Sus scrofa: one gene and its partners. The protein of the gene in region 3 purifies or fractionates together with the protein of the main gene of each other region. This does not show direct contact. Links are inferred from orthologs where the notes say so. Each region holds a gene or a part of one and is shown on either strand. Other genes may lie near its edges.

Evidence for each region.
Region 1: the proteins of TNFAIP3 (region 3) and TNIP2 purify together in Homo sapiens (affinity purification with western blotting; 5 studies listed by BioGRID and IntAct, with this or other methods). This does not show direct contact. The link is inferred for Sus scrofa from reciprocal best matches to the Homo sapiens genes TNFAIP3 and TNIP2.
Region 2: the proteins of TNFAIP3 (region 3) and MTOR purify together in Homo sapiens (affinity purification with western blotting, with the first as the bait; 3 studies listed by BioGRID). This does not show direct contact. The link is inferred for Sus scrofa from reciprocal best matches to the Homo sapiens genes TNFAIP3 and MTOR.

What each region holds. Positions count from the first base shown.
Region 1 is NC_010450.4:1,550,077-1,556,811, forward strand, and holds the start of TNIP2 (TNFAIP3-interacting protein 2), read right to left. Parts: upstream 4,602-6,735; 5' UTR 4,495-4,601; coding exon 4,216-4,494; intron 1-4,215. UniProt on the Homo sapiens protein: Inhibits NF-kappa-B activation by blocking the interaction of RIPK1 with its downstream effector NEMO/IKBKG.
Region 2 is NC_010448.4:71,405,130-71,411,764, forward strand, and holds part of MTOR (serine/threonine-protein kinase mTOR), read right to left. Parts: intron 5,388-6,635; 5' UTR 5,374-5,387; coding exon 5,212-5,373; intron 4,272-5,211; coding exon 4,163-4,271; intron 3,443-4,162; coding exon 3,210-3,442; intron 1,512-3,209; coding exon 1,311-1,511; intron 679-1,310; coding exon 544-678; intron 1-543. UniProt on the Homo sapiens protein: Serine/threonine protein kinase which is a central regulator of cellular metabolism, growth and survival in response to hormones, growth factors, nutrients, energy and stress signals.
Region 3 is NC_010443.5:26,485,506-26,492,240, reverse strand, and holds the start of TNFAIP3 (tumor necrosis factor alpha-induced protein 3), read left to right. Parts: upstream 1-2,469; 5' UTR 2,470-2,820; intron 2,821-2,833; exon of another isoform or gene 2,834-6,287; intron 6,288-6,388; 5' UTR 6,389-6,403; coding exon 6,404-6,698; intron 6,699-6,735. UniProt on the Homo sapiens protein: Ubiquitin-editing enzyme that contains both ubiquitin ligase and deubiquitinase activities.

The DNA of each region.
Region 1 (6,735 bases), on a different chromosome or scaffold from region 3:
CACACAGTGAATTAGCACCGTTTTTCCAGAGTCTTCACTGGAGGAACTTTGCAAAGTCATCTATCTAAGCCTCATGTTACAATAAGGTAAGGTCTTAAATCCCACATGGAGGCAAAAAAGATCAGAATTCTCAAGACTCGTCTGGCCCCATTCCACAGTGGCTACAGCTTGACCACAGATACACTGGTCACCTGGCACTCCCTCCACACCTGTGAGCCTCAGCATCCTCTCTGCGAGCCCTCATCCAAGGTCCCTGCTCCTAGTTGCCTGGCTGACATGGCCAGTGATAAGAGCAACCTTTTAACCAATTCCTCTCATTGTTTTCACTCTGCACGGCTACTTCAGTGAACCCAGGGCCTCTGGGCAGTGATAAACCTTTCCATTCTTCCACAGGTTCTGTGACCAAGCTCAGAAAGATGTGAGGGTAAGCAACAAATATAACTTAAAATCCTAAAATAAAACCTACGTGTCAGAAGTGGAAGGACCAGTAATACTAAGACTACAAACCTGATTTCATATAGGTTCTTGTTAGAGGCTCTGGGGCCACAGGATGCTGGTGACAAATGTTACCTGAAAACCAATGACCACCAGGCTGTAAGTAGAGATCTGCTCTGGGCATCATGTGCTCTGGTCTCCACTCTACACAGATCTATGGCTCCTGGTGACCATGACACTAAGATCAGTGGTGCAGACCAGGTAACTTCCTTCCACCCTGACAAGTTATAATCCACCTTCCTTAGGAACAGGGAGAAAGCTGGAGTGAAGGGGACATCTGGCTTCTGAAGGCATTTAAAATGATGCATATAAGAAAATACTGGAGTGCCCTGGTGATACGGTGGTTAAAACAGTGCTTTCAAAGCTGTGGCCCAGGTTCGATCCCTGGTGGGAACTGAGATCCCACATCAAGCTGCAGCACGGCCAGAAAAAATAAATAAATAAAATAGTGACATGATATTAAGTAAAACTGCATAGACAGCACAAATTCAACCATGCCAAGTGTTTACATACCCTATATTTAAAGGACTAACAGGAAAGAGGCATGCCAAGAGGTTAATGCTGGTTGTCCTCCATGGTGGGATTACGGTGGTTGTTTTATTCTTTTTGTCTTTATTCTTTTTTCTTTCTTTCTTTCCTTTTTTTCTTTTTTCTTTTTCTTTTTTTTTTTTTTTTTTTTTTTTTTGTCTTTTTAGAGCCACCCTTGCAGCATATGGCAGTTCCCAGGCTAGGGATCAAATCAGAGGTGCAACTGCTAGCCTACACCACAGCCACAGCAACAGAGGATCTGAGCCACGTCTGTGACCTACACCACAGCTCACAGTGACGCTGGATCCTTAAACCACTGAGTGAGGCCAGGGATCAAACCGACATCCTCATGGATACTAGTTGGGTTTGTTACCACTGAGCCACAACAGGAACTCCTCTTTATGCTTTCCTCTATTTTTCAGATAAACAAAATTTCTTTCATGGAGTTCCCACTGTTGCACAGTGGGCTAAGAAACCAACTGCGGCAGCTTGGGTCACTATGGAGGCGCAGGCTTGATCCTTAGCTTGGCAGAGTGGGTTAAAGGATCCAGCGGAGCCACAGCTACAATGTAGGTCACAGCTATGGCTCATTCAATCCCTGCAGTCATTTAAAAAAAAAAAGAAAGGAAGAAAAGAATTACTTTTGTAAAAAGAAAAATAGGTATGTTTCTTTTTCAATGTAAAATTTGACTGCAGGGCCAAACCTGGAAGTGAAAATTATCTTTTGCAGACTATTCCCTTTGCAGGCCTAGCTTCTGTACTGGGAAAACCTGGATAATAGCTCTGGGCTAAATGGGATAACAGACCAGAGTTCACCAAAAATGTCTGGGGCACTTCCAAATAGCTGTTACAGCAAAATACTGTTACTCTTGCTCCTGACCTGAGTGTTTGTGGTATTTCAATATCATATAACATAATATCAGTAACAAGGATAAGAAGGAGAGAAAGTAAGGACCTAAGTCTATCATCAGACACTGGCAGGCCCCCACTCTGTCATCACTCCCAGCAGAAGAGATGTGTTACTATTGAAAAATACATTCATGACCAGGGCTAAAAGACACCCCAGAACACAACTAGGGTTCACAGGCCCTGAACCCAGTGCCCAGGCCCAATGTCTATACACACAAAGGAGAACTCAACATGAACACACACACAGAAACTTCCTTGTGCACAAATACAAATAACATGCACAGTCATCCCTAAGGCCCAACACAGACACACACCTCTCACACCCAGCATGGATACACACACACCCCCCTGAGAGCCCAATATGGGCACTCACACTCTTCAAAACCCAGCACAGCAACAGACCCCTGAGAACTAAACACGCATATACATCCTTCACAATCCAAATGAGCACAAACTCAAAACCCAACACAGGTGAACACACCCCTCAGAACCCAACATAAGGGCATACACATCTCATATACCACAGAAGCACACACAACCCACAACCCAACATGGACACACACCCTTCAAACCCAACACAGGCACACATTCCCCTCACACCCAACATGGGAGCAGACCCCCCTGAATTCAACTGGTACACAACTGCAAGATTCAACACTGGCATACACACAATCCTCAAAACCACGGATAGACAACCTTCAGAACCAACACACATACACATCTCTCAGAGCCCAAATGGGCACACATATTACTCAGAACTCAAAACAGGCACGCACGCACGCACGCACACACACACCACTCAGAACACAAAACGGAGGCATATATCCTTCAGAAACCAGCATACACTCCCCTCAGACCCATATGGAAATACACACTCCAAACCCAACACATGCAGATGTACTTCAGAACCAACACAAACACACCCCTCACACCTAACACAGACACACTACTCAGACTCATAACCCTCAGACCAACATGGGCACACACACTCCTGAAAACCAACAAGGACTCCTAAGAACCAACATGGGCACTTTCCTCAACCCATCAAGGATGCACAAATCTCAGATCCAACATGAGGACACACACCTCAGATCCAACATAGGCACGCACATGCCTCAGAACCAATATGGACAAACACCTTTTACACCCAAAATGGGCACACATCACTCACAACTCAACTATGCCAACAAGGACACACATCCCTCAGAGCCACCATGAACACACAACTATCAGAATCCAATACAGGCACAAACCCCTCAAACACAGACCCATCACCTACAGACCCTAGCGAAACACACACATATTCCTCAGACACCAACACGCACATACACACCTCAAAAGCAACATGAAAACATACCCCTTAGAACCAAAAGGAGCACACATAACCCTCAGACACAATATAAGCACACAACCTTCAAAACCAAAATGAGCACATAACCCTCAGAAGCAACACATTCACACAGATCCCTCAACACAACTTCGGAACCCACGAGGGGAGCAGACAGCCCCGAGACTCTACACAGGGGCACACACACACCTCAGACCCCACAGGAATAAATACAGCCAGCATCAACACAGACACACAACCCTCAGACACAAAAAGGGCCCACGCCCTAAGACCCACTACGGGAGCACACCCCTCAGAACCTAAGACAGGCTCACAATGCCAGAACCAAGACGTACACGCACCTCAGACCCAACGCGGTAACACCGCAGACGCTGACATGAACACACATCCCTGAGAACCACCTCGACACACACGCCTCAGACCCAACATGGAGCACGCCCCTCAGCACCGACAGGGACACGCGCGCCCCTCAGCACCGACAGGGACACGCGCCCCCTCAGCACCGACAGGGACACGCGCGCCCCCTCAGCACCGACAGGGACACGCGCGCCCCCTCAGCACCGACAGGGACACGCGCGCCCCTCAGCACCGACAGGGACACGCGCGCCCCCTCAGCACCGACAGGGACACGCGCGCCCCCTCAGCACCGACAGGGACACGCGCGCCCCTCAGCAGCTACACTTACACCCTCCAGACCCAACACGGCGACAGCCCGCAGACGCTCACACGCACCCCGCAGCCTGACCGCCGGCACACAGGGCGCCCAGACCCCGGCTAGCAGCCCACACCCGAGAGCCCAGCGACCCCTCCGGGCCCCCAGCGCGCACGCCCCTCAGGGGCCACCCGCCGACGCCCGCCCGCGGCGCAGCGCCGACCCGGCCTGCCCACCCGAGCTCCGCCAGCCGCACGCGGCCCCCGCCCACTCGGCTCCGCACCTGGCGCAGCGCGGCCTCCGCGGCGCCGCCGTCCTGCTGCCGGAGCTGCTCTCGGAAGCGCGCCACCTGCTCCAGCAGCGCGTCCACGAGCGACGGCGCCGCGTCCCCCTCAAGCGCCGCCAGACGGGCGCGCAGGCGCGCGATGAGGGCGTCCCGAGCGGCCAGCTGGTCCTGCAGGCGCCTCAGCCGCTGCCCGGCCTCGTGGTACAGGCCGCAGAGCGCGGCAGCCGCGCGAGGGGCCCCCTCCGGCCCGCCCGACCCCGCGCCCCCGGACGACATGGCTACGGGCCTGTCCGGGAAGACGCGCGCCCGCCGGCAACTTCCGCGCCGGGTCTGGGCGGGCGGCCCCCCTTCCCGGAACTTTTCCCGGCGCGCCCCGCCCCCCCGCGGAACCCCCGGGCCCCGCCCCGCGCCGCGCGTCCAGGCCCCGCCCCCGCCCAGCGCTGGGCCCCGCCCCCGCCCCCGCCCCCGCCCAGCGCTGGGCCCCGCCCCCGCCCAGCGCTGGGCCCCGCCCGTCCCCATTCCGCCTCCGTCCACCCGGGGGTGCCTCGCCTGTCCCAGCCGCCCAGTCGCCCCGCGTGGGGGCAGTTTTTGGAGAGTACGCTCGGTTGAGGAGAGGGGTTGAGCGGTCTCTGATGTAGCTACTGATGGAAGGGACAGGAGCCAGGAATTCCTGTGTGGCTCGACGGGTTGGATCCCATGTCGTCACTGCAGTGGTTCAGGTCGCTGCTGGGGCCCTGGTTCAAAGACGACCCCAAGGATTAACCCTGAAGTTGGGTCCAAATCCCCGGGCTGCAGGCGGGTTGGCCACGTCGGGCAATAGGAAAAGGGCGACTTTCAGGAGTTGAGCCCAGCGAGGTGCCCTACCCACCAGGGCACAGGGCAGTGCCCAGAGCAGGACTCTAGACCCTGCATCCGCCCTCTTTCCTGCCCTATTTCTCCATTCTTTTCCTTCCCCCCAACTGCCCAGACCAATCCTGAAGATTTTTCCGTGACTCTGCAGCTGTTTTTTTTCAAAGTCTGAGTTTGCTCCACCATGATGCCCAACCACACCTGTGGTCTTTCAAAGCGCCCCCCTGCCCTCCCACACTGAATCCTCTGCAGGTCCCTGCCCTACTGCTTGCACTCCCCTCCTCGCCCTGCCCCCTGAGAGCAGCATGGTGTGTTTTTTGTAATCCCTGCCCAAGCTTGGGCTGAGCCCAGGGAAAGCACTCACCAGCCTGCAGAATCAGACAGACAGACAGATGGAGAGATGGACAAACGTCCTCCATTGCAGAGAGACATCGCGTCCAGTGGCTCCTTCCAACCCACAGGCGTGTTGTGTGACTAGAGGATGGAATTTGCAGCACCTGCCCCTGCAAGCCCGCCGTCCACGTGGCTGAGGTCAGGAAAGACACGTTCTTGTCGACTCAAGGAGTGATGGAGAAAACCAGCTGGCGCTGGCATCAGAGCCGGGCGGGTCTCCACTGCTCTAAGTGTAACCTTCCACAGGCCGCTCAGCTGTCTGGTTCTCACCTGTAGAAGAGGCTCCCAGTGTCTCATGTAACATTCTGGGGGTCACAGGTACTTTGAAATTGAGAACCTTTGGATTTGAGATAGGTTGTGTATCATCGGGGTGGCCAGCATCCAAAAAGAATCCCACTCGCGGTGTTCACTCTTGTGATTTCACCTCTGACACTCTGAATAGGGCTGCCCTGTGCAAGCAGGAAGATGCTGCAGAAGTCATGGTGTTTCTCCAGCTAGGTCACTAGAGGCCGTGTAGCTACTACCTTGGCCTCTCTTAGATCACTCGCTCCGAGGAAGCCCCCCGCCACGTCATGAAGACACTCAGGTAGCCCTGTGAAGAGGCCCATGTGATGAAGACATGCAGCTTCGTGCCAACAGCCAGCATCGACTCACCCACAAGAGTAAATGGCCCACCTTGGGAGGATATCCTCCATCCTACCAACACCTTGCCTGGGCCTCATGGGAGTCCCTGAGCCAGAGCCACCCAAATTCCTGACATGTAGAAGTTGTCCGGGAGTTCCTGTTGTAGGGCAGCGGAAACAAACCTGACTAGTATCCATGAGGACACGGGTTCAATCCCTGGTCTCGCTCCGTGGTTAAGGATCCAGCGTTGCCGTGAGCTGTGGTGTAGGTCATAGACGAGGCTCAGATCCCGAGTTGCTGTGGCTGCGGTGTAGACTGGCAGCTGCAACTCCAATTCGACCCCTAACCTGGGAACTTCCATATACTGCAGGTGTGGCCTTAAAAAGACAAAAAAAAAAAAAAAAAGGAGTTCCCGTCATGGCTCAGTGGTGAACAAATGCAACTAGGAACCATGAGGTTACGGGTTCAATTCCCGGCCTTGCTCAGTGGGTTAAGGATCCGGCGTTGCTGTGGCTGTGGTGTAGGCCGGTGGCTGCAGCTCCGATTGGACCCCTAGCCTGGGAACCTCCATATGCCGCAGGAGCGGCCCTAGAAAAGGCAAAAAAAAAAAAAAAAAATTTAAATAAATAGATAAGATGACCATTCAAACTG
Region 2 (6,635 bases), on a different chromosome or scaffold from region 3:
AGAGAGCTCCTCACTCACCTCCCTGCTTCCCTGCCTGCCTCTCCACGGGCCCTTCCCCGCAAGGAGCCGATGACCGTTAAAAACAGCCGCCGTCACAGCATCCTCTGGGCGAGTCTCTCGGCGAGGAGCACGAGACCCAGCGTCGACCAGGAGCCAGGAGGCCCCCGACCCCGGGCCCCCTCCCTCTCCTATGCTGGGTGCACCAGCCCCACGGCCCTTCTTTCTTGAACGTGTCAAACTCTCTTCCAGCTCAAAGCCTCTGCCTGGAAGACAGTGATCTCCCTGCCCTCGCGCGCGTGCGCTGTGAGGCCAGTCCTCCACGTCACATGGTCTTGGCCCAAATGCCACCCCCCAGGCAGGGAGCCGCGCCCTCTCCCCGAGACCCTCCACTTCATTTCTTCCCAGAACGCGCCACCGTCCAACACGATCGCACCGATCGCACCGGCTGGTCTTCTGCCTGCTCCCCCCACAGCACGGCGGCTCTCCGAGGCGCTGGCACAGCGGCGCGGGGCGGCCCAGGCCCGGCCCCGCCGCGTGACTCACCTCTCCCTCCATGCTGCTGATGCGGACCAGCTCGTTGAGGATCAGCAAGGCTCCGTGGATCCGGTCGTCCCGGTTCATGCCCTTCTCCTTGGCCAAGGTCTCGTCAAACCCTTTCTCTGCTTCTTCGAACGTGTGCTACGGGGAGACCCAGAATGCCCGAGTCACCCACTGCCCAGAGCGGGAGAGCAGGCCCACCCAGCCACACGGGGTCCTGAGGTCGCTGTGGCTGCTTGGGGCCCCGTGCCAGCGTCACCAATGGTGTCAGCTCATGGAGCTCCCTCATTTCCTTTGGCGTCAGCCCTCGCAATACCGCGAGGCAGACATCATAACCATCTCTACTCAAGAGACAAAAAACTGGAGTGCCCGTCGTGGTGCAGCAGAAACGAATCCGACCAGGAACCGTGACATTGCAGGTTTGATCCCTGGTCTAGCTCAGGGGTTAAGGATCGGGTGTTGTGGTGTACGCCGCAGACATGGCTCGGATCTGGCGTTGCTGTGGCTCTGGCATAGGCTGGCAGCAACAGCTCCAATTGGACCTCTGGCCTGGGAACCTCCATATGCCGCAGGAGCAGCCCTAAAAAAGACAAGAAAAAATAAATAAATAAAATAAAATAACTATTCATTCATATTGCGCATAAAAAATTACTGAAGACCAAAACAGACATGACGCTTGCTCTGTGGCAAGGGGCCTGCTGCTGCTCCTCGGGCTCGGTGTGCCTCCAGGCAAACGTGCTGGGCTGGTGACTGGAATGGATCCGTCTCCTCACCCTGTACCACTGCGGCTTCTGCATCTCCTTTGGCTCTCGCTGGGTGGTGAGGATCAGACAGGCACGGAGCGCGGCGACAGCTCCCTCCCGGATGGCCTGTTTGGGGTCCCACACAGCCACAAAAATGTTGTCAAAGAAGGGCTGCACTTGCTGGAAGAAGAAGGTGGGGACGCTGACGGCCAGCTCACGAAGGACCAGGACCTGGGAGGAGAGACACACGGAGACCTTCCATCTGCATCAACGAGGTCTAGTCTCTCAGGGGTACAGCCTCGTGTCACCCCAGAGCCGACATCTGCTAGGAAAAGAGCACACCTGCCTACTCTTCTAGCTCGGAAATTCTGGGGACCAAGGAAGGGAAGTAAAGCTATCAGACATCTCAGGGTTCACTGTCCCAGGGTGCTTAGCAACAGAAGGCATGTGGCCTTAGAACACGAGCGCTGAAAGGAGCCGCCTTTAATGCTTTGTACACTGCTCCGTGGACAGCCTGGAACATGCCCGGAATAGAGCAGGTATTCAAGAAACATTTACGGAATGAACGATAATCCTGTTTCACATTTCATCTTGCTATATTTTCATTTGACCATGGAAAAACTGAGGGTCCCAGCGTGCCCCACGTCACAGTTAGGAGGTGGCACCCGAGTCCGAGTGCGGGCCCCTCCCCCAGGCAGGCTCCCTGCTCCTGGGGCAGCCCCCTAACGAGGGACCCGACTGGAAGGGACCCAGCTGATGCCTTCCCACCACATTCATTCCTAGCTTCTCTCCCATGGACAGATCCTCCCCCATCTCACAGCCTGGATCCCTAGCCCATCAAAGCAGCCTTTTTCAGGGACGGGCCTCAGAGAGCAATGAGGATGTGTGTGTAGAAGAGGCTGGAAAGCCACCACTCCCTCCAATGCAGGACAGCCTGCTGGAAAGAGGAAGTCTGGACCACGTACCAACCAATCAACAAAGGACCGAAACGCAGATGGGCAAGGCCTGGGCAGAGGCGGACCAGGGAATGTGGGGATCGGGCACCAACTTCCTCTGCTCCTTCCTCCCTTCAGCCCCGCTCCCCACGTTCCCACCAACGTGGAGCCCTGGACGGAGGGGTCCTGAGGACAGCACAGCTGCTGAGGCTCTGGAAGCCTCATGGCTTGTGGCTTCCTCACTTGTCTATGGCTGAGGGCTGCCTTCTGCTTGACAGGCATTTTTATTTCTCTCTTTTTTAAAAATGTATTCATAGGAGTTCCCATCGTGGCGCAGTGGTTAATGAATCCGACTAGGAACCATGAGGTTGCGGGTTCGGTCCCTGCCCTTGCTCAGTGGGTTAACGATCCGGCGTTGCCGTGAGCTGTGGTGTAGATTGCAGACGTGGCTCGGATCCCGCGTTGCTGTGGCTCTGGTGTAGGCCAGTGGCTACAGCTCCGATTCGACCCCTAGCCTGGGAACCTCCATATGCCGTGGGAGCGGCCCCAAAGAAATAGCAAAAAGACAAAAATAAATAAATAAATAAATAAAAATGTATTCATTTTTGGCAGCACCCATGGCATGCAAAAGTTCCTGGGGACCAGGGATGAAACCTGCACCATAGCTGTAACCAGAGCCGTAGCAGCGACAACGCTGGATCCTTAACCTGCTGTTCCCATGAGGGAACTCCTTGGGAGGCAATCTGGATTCTGGAAAGTCAAGGTGAGAAGAAGCACTGCACAGAGGGCTGCCTCTCAAGCAATAAAGAGAACATTAAGTTTCCTCTGCAGGTGGGGAGCTCAGGGTAAAGAGAGAAAGGGATTCGGGACAGACCCTGAACCAAGAAGCACAGGGCCTTTGCCCGGAGCATCCGCTCTCATTCTCTGCCTTTCAGGGACCTGGGCACATGGTGGGAAGGACCTGACACGAGGCCACGGCTCCACAGGTACTCACAGCTGCGTGTCTCCGGCCCTCGTTTCGGTCAGCACCCAGCCACTCCAGGGCTCGCTTCACCTCAAACTCCACATACTCTGCAGTAAAAGTGTCTCCTGCCATGGCGAGGCGACCAATGGCCTTGGATGCCATTTCCATGACAACGGGGTCATTGGAGGGGAGGAGGTTCCGAAGATAGTTGGCAAATCTTCCGATTCGGGTGGCATTCCCGCCTTCCACTCCTATGAGGCTGGCTGGCAAAGAGAGGAAGGCAGAGGATGAGTCGGGCATGTGCGGTCCACGGAGGTCCACTGTCTTCAGAGGAAAGCTAGCGAGGGACCCCTTCCTCCTACTCTAAGCACAGACTGCAATTTCCAGCTGGTGAGGAGGCAAATAATTTCCATTCCATTTTAACAAACAGACTTAATGTTTGGACCAGAACTACTTAGATAAAGCAAAATGATCTCATCTTAATATTTTAGCATATACAGGTTTCCCAAGAAGAAAAGGAAAACAAACCAGGACTGAATAATAATTCACAGGATGGATAACCAGTCCCCATGAGCTGAAATTATCTGCCTTTTATTCACAGTCCCCTCAACTCTACTTTTCCATTTCTGAGCTCTGCTCTGCCAAACTTGGCTCTAGAGAGAAACAAGAGCCTGCAAAATGCAACAAGGGTAGCAGGAAGAAAGCTGACTTCCAGCCTCAGCTCTGGCGCACCAGCCCTGGAAAAGTCGCTTAGTGGTTCTGAGGCTCCATGTCTGAAAAAAACCCTCTTTGCCCTTGGGTTTGCCCAGGACTGTGGTTAAAATTAATAGCCGAATAAGCAACTGAAAGCCACAAGTCTCCTTAGAATTCATTAAACAAATATGAAGTGAGGATCCAGTAAGTAGTAGACACGGAGTGCAGTGGACACAAAGGACACAGTCCTGGATGTCCAGTTCTTACTGTGCCAGAGACCCTGTCCTTACCTATGGCCAAGATGCCGCCTTTCCTCTCATTGGCATCTGAGCTGGAAACCAGTTCAAAAATGTGATGGTTCAGCTGATCATAGAAACGAGTAGACTCCTCTTGACTCATCTGTAAAGGAAGACGTATTCAGGGCAATGTCTAATGTTCCCTGCTGGTGGGGGCGTGGGGTGCCTTTCGAAGACCAGAACCCAAGAGGTGGCCAGCAGGTGCAGTTAACCGAAGACGACACAGCCGCTGACCATCTCTGTTGTTTTAAACCGTAGAGCAATCATCTGTTTACTTAACCAATACCTACTGTGTATCTACTCAAGGGGAGGCCATGTCCTGTCCTAGATTCTACCTGGTAGCCTGGGTACAAGGCCAAAAAAGACACTGTCCCTACCTCAGGTCTGGCCTCTATTTGAAAAGCCCCAAGCAATCAACTCTTCAAACCCATCCCAACCCATGTTATCAGGCAGAAAGATTCAAAAGCCTGGAATGTGGCATGAAAAAGAAAAAAATTAAAAGAAACAGCCGATTCTTTTTCTTTCTTTCTTTCTTTCTTTCTTTTTTTTTTTTTTTTTTTTTTTTGTCTTTTTAGGGCCACACCTGAGGCATACGAAGTTTCCAGGCTGGGGGTTGAACCAGTGCTGTAACCGCTGCCTACACCACAGCCACAGCAACGCCAGATCCGAGCCATGTCTGCCACCTACACCACAGCTCATGGCAACGTGGTTCCTTAACCCACTGAGTGAGGCCAGGGATCGAACCCGCAACTTCATGGTTCCTAGTCGGATTCGTTTCCGCTGCACCATGACAGGAACTCCCGGAACAGCCAATTCTACTCTGACTCCTAAACTATCACAAGAAAGGAAATGCCACAGAAATGTGGAACTGTGGCAAAGGAACCTGCCCATTCTACAGACCTGAGAAATTGGGTGCCTTTCTAAACTAGAATCTTTGCCTTTTCTGAGCCCTCAATCAGCTGTCAAGAGGCATCTAAACCAGGAATGGCACATGCAGCCCCAAAAGGCCATGATGAAGGGCCCCAAACCGCAGCAGCTCCAACCTCTCGGAGCTCCATGGTGACATAGTGCTGGAGTTCCTTGGCAGCTTTGGCCCTGGTCTCCTCATTCCGGCTCTTCAGGCCACTGGCAAACTGCTGCAGGACGCTCACGTTGCTGGAAGTGGTGGTCGCTGTGGTGGCGGCGGCAGGTCCGGTTCCAAGCATTTTGCCCTGAGGTTCTTTGGAGAGAAGCTGGCTTTAATATTCTGGATAACAAACCATGGCGGTGAACTAATCTATGGCCCCACCTCCCCCCACAGGCCTCCACTCATCCACATCAGGCTGGGGATCCTAAAAAGGCTGGGAGACCCCAATGAAAAGCATGCAGAAAGCCTCAATTCATTTGATAACCACGGGTGTTGAAAGAGGCAGCAGAGCAGAGAAGGTCAAATTATGCTATGGGCTGTGCAGCCAGACTACCTGGGTGTGAATCCAGTCCAAAATTATATACCTCAAGGAAGACACTTCAAATATCTTAGTTATAATCGGAGGATAAGAGTACCTAACTCAGAGGACTGATGTGAAGATTAAACGAGCTAATACATGTTAAAAAGTGCTTAACATAGTGCTGGGCACACAGTGAGTTTGCAATAGTTGCTGGGTTAATATTATTATTATTACTACTACTCTGTACGTTGCACAGAGCCAGGTAGCAGAGATGGGGAGCGTGAGAGAAAACAAAGCAAGCCTAAGACTGCCCCTCTCCTCAAATTCACTTTAGAGAGGGAAACTGATTGTTATTCTATAGCAGCACGGGTCTGACAGAAATACGAGCTACAAATGTAACTTTAAAGTTCCTAGTAACCACATAGCAAAGGTCAAAAGATACAGGCAAAATTAGTTATTTTATTTACTCCAATATATCCAAATATCATTTCAACATGTCACAATATAAAAAGTTATGACAGGTGTTCCCTGGTGGCCTAGCAGTTACACATCCAGCACTGTCACAGCTGTAGCGCACGTTCGATCCCCGGCCCGGGAACTGATGCTTGATGTGGGCACAGCCCACTGCCTCCCTCCCCCCCAAATTACTGATATATTCACTTACGGCAATTTCTTTTTTTTTTTTTTAGGGCTGCACCTGCGTCATATGAAAGTTCCCAGGCTCGGGTCAAATCAGACTATGGCTACCGGCCTACACCACAGCCATAGCAACATGGGATCCTAGCCGTGTGTGTCACCTACACCACAGCTCATGGCAACATAGGATCCCTGACCCAATGAGTGAGGCCAGGGATCGAACCTACATCCTCATGGATACTAGTCGGATTCATTTCTGCTGCGCCCCAATGGAAACTCCACTTACTGCAATTTCAACTTAGCAATTTCAACATTTTCAAGTGCTCTAAGCCACCTGTGGTTGTTGTATTGGACAGCGCAGTTCCATAAAGACTAGTACTTGGAATGTAAGCTAAAAAAAGACT
Region 3 (6,735 bases):
GACGCGGCTCGGATCCCGAGTTGCTGTGACTCTGGCAGAGGCCGGTGGCTACTGCTCCGATTCGACCCCTAGCCTGGGAACCTCCATATGCCTCGGGAGCGGCGTAAAGAAATAGCAAAAGACAAAAAAAAAAAAAAAAAAAAGAAAAGAAAAAAAAAGAACCTCTCCTTCTACATTCTGCCTGCCTCTTCCACTCTTCATTTCTGATCTACCACCAAGAAAATGCTTACAGATCTTGCCCATGGTTATGTATCAGAAAGGGCTCTAACTTATAGGGCAGGAAAAACAGCAAAAACTAGAGAAGAGCAGGACTAAGAATTCGTCCTCACAGAGGTCATCACTCCAGTGGCAGATGCGTGGAAAATGGGGGTAGAGCTAAACCGAGGGTAACCAACCACCACTGCCTCTGATTGCTATTACCTTGTCACAAATCCTGCCAGGCAAGATGTTAGAGTCACAACGTCGGGGCAATTGGAAGTGACAGATATGACCACGGTCTGTCAGCTTGTTACCCCTGGTACCGCATACTTGACTCATGAAACCAGGCGGCATGAAACCAAAAAAGGGGCAATGAAAGCAACAGGAGCTGAGGGGCCAGAGCCAGACGAAGATCAACAAGAGCAGGCAAATTCTGTTTCCAAAGGAGCACAAGGGGAGAGTGGTCTGAGGATTGAGGGTGTTCTTTTAAATACATCAACTTTCACCATCTCAACTGGCTGGGGAAGTTTTCCTGAGGATGGAACCAAGGCCCGTCTGGTTCCCAGGTCCATGTTCTCTTCCAGCCTGGGGTCCATGTTTGGCTAAGTAACTGCTGGGACCAGGGTGCAAATAGCAGCCCTGAGATTTTAAATCTTGTAGGATCTTCTCTGAGAGTGACGATTCATAGTTGGGACCAAACAGTATGGGCTTTGGAGTAAGGCAGGCCCAGTGCCAAGCCCAGCTCTGCCACTGGCTGATTGTATAGACTTCCAGGCAAATGGCTTAAGCTTTTGAACTTCAGTTTCTTTATCTGCAAAGTGGAGTTGTGAGGTTTAAATGTCAGAATCCCTTGCAAATACTTAACCTGCAGCCTGGCCTATAGCAAGGACTTGATAAATAACATCATTATCATCATCCCCATTATTACTATTATTATTATTATTATTATTATTATTATTATACTAGCGTGACTACCCATTGTTTGAGTGTTGGCAGCTGAAAACATTTGTGAATGAGAAGAGGACAGATACTAGGGCTGAAATTGTAAAAAAAATCCCAACCATCGGTTTCAAATACCAGCACCAGTCTCAGGACCTTGTCCATTACTCTCTGCTCTAAATGCCGTTAAAAAAGTGCCACCCTCCACCCAGCCCCCACCCTAGCCTCTCTGGGTCCTTACTGAAGGAAGTATAGTTTTCTAGCTCAAAACTTGAGATACATGGCCTGACAAGTATACCTAACAGACAGTGATAGAGAATACTTCAGTCTGGCTCTAGCTTAGTCATTCTAGAAAATGAGGCAAGAAGGACACCAAGGCATTTAAAGGGCCTAGAGCCCCTTCCTCCACAGTTCATGTCCCCACACTGCCCAGGGAGCCTGCACCTGTCTCCACAGTGCACTCCCCCCCCCCCCCCCCGTGAAGACAGTGAGGCCAGCGTGGTATTTAATAAGGAGGGGGGGGTAATAAGTATTATCAGCCATTGGCATCCTGGGGTGGACTATTTATCAAGACCCCTAAGAAGACTCCCAGTAAGGCCTTACAGGGGACGTGGCAAGGACAGTAACAGACTAGAAGCACCTAAACTGAAATGCTACCTGAATGTGAGGTCACCTGGGCCCCTGATGTGCAGAAATAGAGAAGAGAAATCAGTCAAGTGAGAGACGAGGTTGGTAGTGGTTCTGGTTCCTAATTTGATCTGACTGGCTTTGCCCTTGCGAATTTCAGGGCCAGGAGGTTTCCGAACTGCATCCCACTAGCTTGGGTCTGGGGCCAAGGGACTTGGCTGCCTCTTTTTCTTGAAATCCCCCCCTGAGGCCCAGCGTAGGGCTCTCCCCTACAAGCACATCACGTGCGTAGCCCAAGCTTTGCAAACCCAGCGGAGGCCCGCCGTCCTGGGCGCCAGGGTGGTTTTTAGGGTTTTCTCTATGATTTCCCTTCGTGTTCTTCACAGTTGATGATTTTCTGCAGAAAAACGGCTGAGAAAAAGAACCTATTTCATTTCCAGTTCCCATCACTGCGATTTCCACATGGATGTGACGTTGAGCCCTGCTTCCGAAATGCCCAGGTGACTCACGCGGGGACACCCCGGGGCGGGGCGCAGGAGTTTCTCGGGCGGAGGGCGGGGCGGCGGACGGGGCGGGGCGGCGGACGGGGCGGGGCGGGGCGGGGCGGGGCGGCACGCGGCTCGCCTCCTGCGCCTCCTGCGCCCCCTGCGCCCCCTGGCGGCGGGAGACCCAACAATGCTGCCATCCGCTCGGGCTCCGGGAGCCCGGCCCGGCGTCACGTGACTGGAAAGTCCCTGGGTGGAAATCCCCTGCTGTCCGCGGGCGGTAAAACAGAAAGGGAAAAAAGAGAACTGGCAGTCTGCAGCCTTAGTGGCGGCCAAGCGCTGCAAACTAGGAGGCCGCGGGGGCGGAGCGGCTCGAGCGGCTGTCCGGAGAACAGCCGCGGCGGCAGCTGGCGAGATCCACACCCCCGGCCGGCGGCCAGCAAGCGAGCCCCGAGCGGGGCGTCCATGGGGCGCCGCCTGCATCCGACCCCTACCGTGACCCCAGGCTGCGGCGCACGCCTGTCCTGACTTGGACTTGGGATTTCGGCAGCGGATCGCGCGGCCGGGAGAGGTAACCGCCGTATCCCCGCGCCGTCCGCCACGGGCATCCCGGGGCGAGAGCTGCGGGTGCGAATTGGGCAGCCACCCGCGGGGCTGGCCTGGTCGACCTGGCCCTGGGTTTGCAGCTGTCCCGGAGGGTAGTTTGTGGGCCGTTTGTGCCACTGTTGGTTCTGAACTGCTGGGAGTGGAGGTGGCCGCGCCAGATGTTGGAGTGACAGCATGGATTCCTCCAGCCAGCTGTTCCTTGCAGATAATGCGGAGAACTTGAATGGCAGCTGCCTGGGGAGCGTTGCCCTGGACCGCTTGGTCCGGGTTGTCGTTGGTGCTTTGCCCTTCGGCTTGTCTTTTTTTTTTTTTTTTTTTTTTTTTTGGAATCAAGCGCTGCATGCTTAAGGCCACGTAGACCTTGAGAACTGCTGTGGCCGCTTTCCAGTTTGTGCAGCACCAGCCCAAAGGAGTGGGAGGTCGCAGGGGCAGCAAAACTTGGGGGGTGGGGGTCAGGGGGGCCCAGACCGCTAAGCTTTCTGGGGACCGCTTGCAGACTCTCAGCAGCGTCAGAGAAGTATGTATGTAGCAGCGGGTCTTCGGCTTGCCTTTGGGGGGAGGGCGTGGGGGAGCTCCAGTTTAAAGCATCTGCAGGCCCCTACCCCCGAGTCAGACTGCCTTTGTCAGCCGGGGTCGTCCCACATCCTGCCACCTGGCCTTTCAGGAAAGCCGTAGTATTAAGTAAGGAAGGAGCTCAGCTCTTGTTGAGACCGCTTTGTTTTCAGTTCTCCCTGCCTCTGATCTTCTTTCCTTGGAAAGCTGCTCTGGTCAAGTGTCTCAGGGCCACCTTTTGGGAGAATCACTGTTTAAGAGTTCTCTGGACTACAGCCCCACTCTTCCAGATGGTTAAGCAGCCAGTTACTGCTTCATTCTCCGTGTCTAAGGTGTATCTTACTTTTTTTTTTTCCAATTCTTAATACAATTTTTGAATGAGGGGGGTACTTTCCAAAACTTCGATGGGGTGATTTGGATGAAAAAAGTCAGTGAAGGTAACAGAAGGGTGCAAGAAATGTTAAGGGCAGTATTGTTTATCTTTGCCTATAAGGACATTACAATCATAGCTCAGAAATTCTTTATCATGGGTCAGATTATTCTTTAATTATAAGTACGGAGAAGGCCAAGTTCTGGGCACTTGGGCAGTGAGTTTTGATTTCTTTTAAGGAGGCAATTCTGCAGGCCATTCGAGGTTGAACCAATGAATGAGATGACACTGGGCTATGAAATATTGACGTTTGCATGTCTGGCCTATGATTGCAGCTCTTACTATTTGAGAGCTTTGCTGAATGATCCTAGGTGCGGAAAATAATAGGAGAGTCTGAGAAGCAAAAAGAGGCAACACCTTGTTTCAGACCTTGCTCTTGCCTGTCTGTTCCCATGTGGGAGCAGCAGGCACTGCAACCACAGGTGTGGTGTTGTGAGCTGAGCAAGGGGGCAGGTGTTGGAAGACTTGGCTTCCAGGCAGAGCCCTGCCCCTGCATGACATGGGACCTACCTGAGCAGGACCAGTACTTGCGTTGCTGTAGCAAGAGACCTAGATGGTCATGAGATTTCAAGCCCAGGAAGAAGGGCGTCTTTGATCTTTAGCCTCAGCATCAAGCCTGGGTCTTGATGGTCAGGCAGTGGTCATATGTGGTCAGGTGGTGCTTGGTGAGTGATGGATGGACATGTGAATGACATCGTGAAAGCAACTTTTGCCATGCCACAGAGGGGAAGTGTGTGTGATGTTTTTGTCCCTTCTCTGTGTCTGTGGTCCTGCCATGATTTTGTTTAATTCCACCTGCAGAGAATGTCTGACATCAAAGGAGAGATTGCCATTTGACCCTGAGAATGACTTTTTCCGGGCTTCAACAGCTGTCAGATTAGGAATCCCGATCTAAATCTACCACCAGAAAACTCCTCAGAGGCAACCATGGGGTCATCCAAGCCACCTCTCCCCTTTGAGTGGCCCATGCTCACTTAGACCATTTTATCAAGGGTGCCTCCACCCACCCAGCACTGGCTCTCCTATAATCTAGGTTTTTTGCCTCCCTCTTAGGTTAGTTTAACTTCTATCTCAACTAGAGGCTTGCCCTGGCCAATGGTATGATGCAGGAGTGGGATTTGGGGGTTTGGGGGATGCAAACTGCTATATTTGGAATGGGTGGGCAGTGGGGTCCTACTGTACAGCACAGGGAAGTGTGTGTAATTGGGTCACTTTGCTCTGCAACACAACTTGATGAAATGTTGTAAATCAAGTCTACTTTAATAATAATGAAGGAAAAAAAAAAAAAGCAACTGCAGGGAAACTTCCTAGGGCCTCTGTAGATATTCTGAAACTGTCTTTGTCTTTCTCTTGGAAATCAGGATGGATGACAGGGCACCCTACTAAGGGTCAGTGACTGCAAGCTGGTGCTCCGCACTGCTCTGTGCTCTAGAGATCCCGCCTTATGTCAGTTCGCATCATTCCACATGGTTGCCTTGGGTTGGAAATGCTGGTTTTTGCCCTCCTTCTCTTTCATTTGTCCCGAGTGGCCCCTCTGTCTGAAACGTCTTTCTTGGTCTGCTTTCAGACTTTTATTTCTTTCCACCAGTGTATTGTGCTTGACAATATCAGGTGCAGACAGGGTGGAAAATGCATCTGAGGGTTGGTACCTGGAGGACGATAATAAAATTTGGTTGGCAGTTGAGTTGATGTAATTGAGCTCCACTATCTGCTCTTGGCAGTGTGGAATTTATCATTCTATTATTGCCATATTGTTATTATTAATTTCTTATTCTGATGTTGTAAAGTTCAATGGAGGGGTTCTGAAAGATGGCTGATGGCTCGTAAAATTGCAAAGCATCTTGCTGGAAATAGGCTTTTTTGTTGGTTGTAAAACATTCAGTTTAATGCTTTGTATGTTATAGTACATTTTATAAGTAAGCACTTTATAAGTATTTCTCTTTGGGACTGAAGAGGAAATTCTAATCAGCAGCCTAGGTGGCAGCATAAAATTGCAGGACTTTTTACAAAATATTTACTGCCTTTTGCAGTGGGGAGGTGGGGATGCGCTTAAAAGAGGCAAAGCAAGACTTTGCCTAAGAGCAGGGTTGCTTGGTGGTGCTCTTAGGAGAGAAAACAGGCTCGTCAGGACTCCGTTGTGCCTGTAACTGCATTCAGGGCTCCTAAAATCCAGTGGCTGCCCCAGAGCAGCATCGAAGTGAGATGGGAGCTTGGGTTGGTCACTAGACACAGTACCTGTTGCTGACAGACAGGCTTGGCTCCCTGACAGACGTTACTGAAAACACGGGTTATTCCCCTCCTCCTCAGTACCCACTCCCCGCCTTCCTTCTCTTGTTTAGACTAATCTTTAAAAGTGATGTAACTTACAACAGTCCAGTGTGAGTTAATCTGTGGGGCCAGCTAGTATCCTGGGAGCAGAGGTGACTAAGATCTTTTGCCTCTTGATTAGGGTAATGACAAGATCAAACACTGGGGTTTCCTGCAGGCAGGTATATAGGAGCCCTATCAAAGTCGAGCTAACGGAATGGGGTTTTCTTTCCCTCCTCTTCAGGCCTTGTAGAGCACCATGGCTGAGCAACTCCTTCCCCTGGCTTTGTATTTGAGCAACATGCGGAAGGCTGTGAAGATAAGAGAGAGAACTCCAGAAGATATTTTCAAACCTACCAATGGAATCATTCACCATTTTAAATCCATGCACCGATACACTCTGGAAATGTTCAGAACCTGCCAGTTTTGTCCGCAATTTCGGGAGATCATCCACAAAGCTCTCATCGACAGGAACATCCAGGCCTCCCTGGAAAGCCAGAAGAAGCTCAACTGGTGTCGAGAAGTGAGGAAGCTTGTGGCACTGAAAACGAATGGTAAGACTTGCTTTTGTCAGTGGGGTGGCTCCCAGGA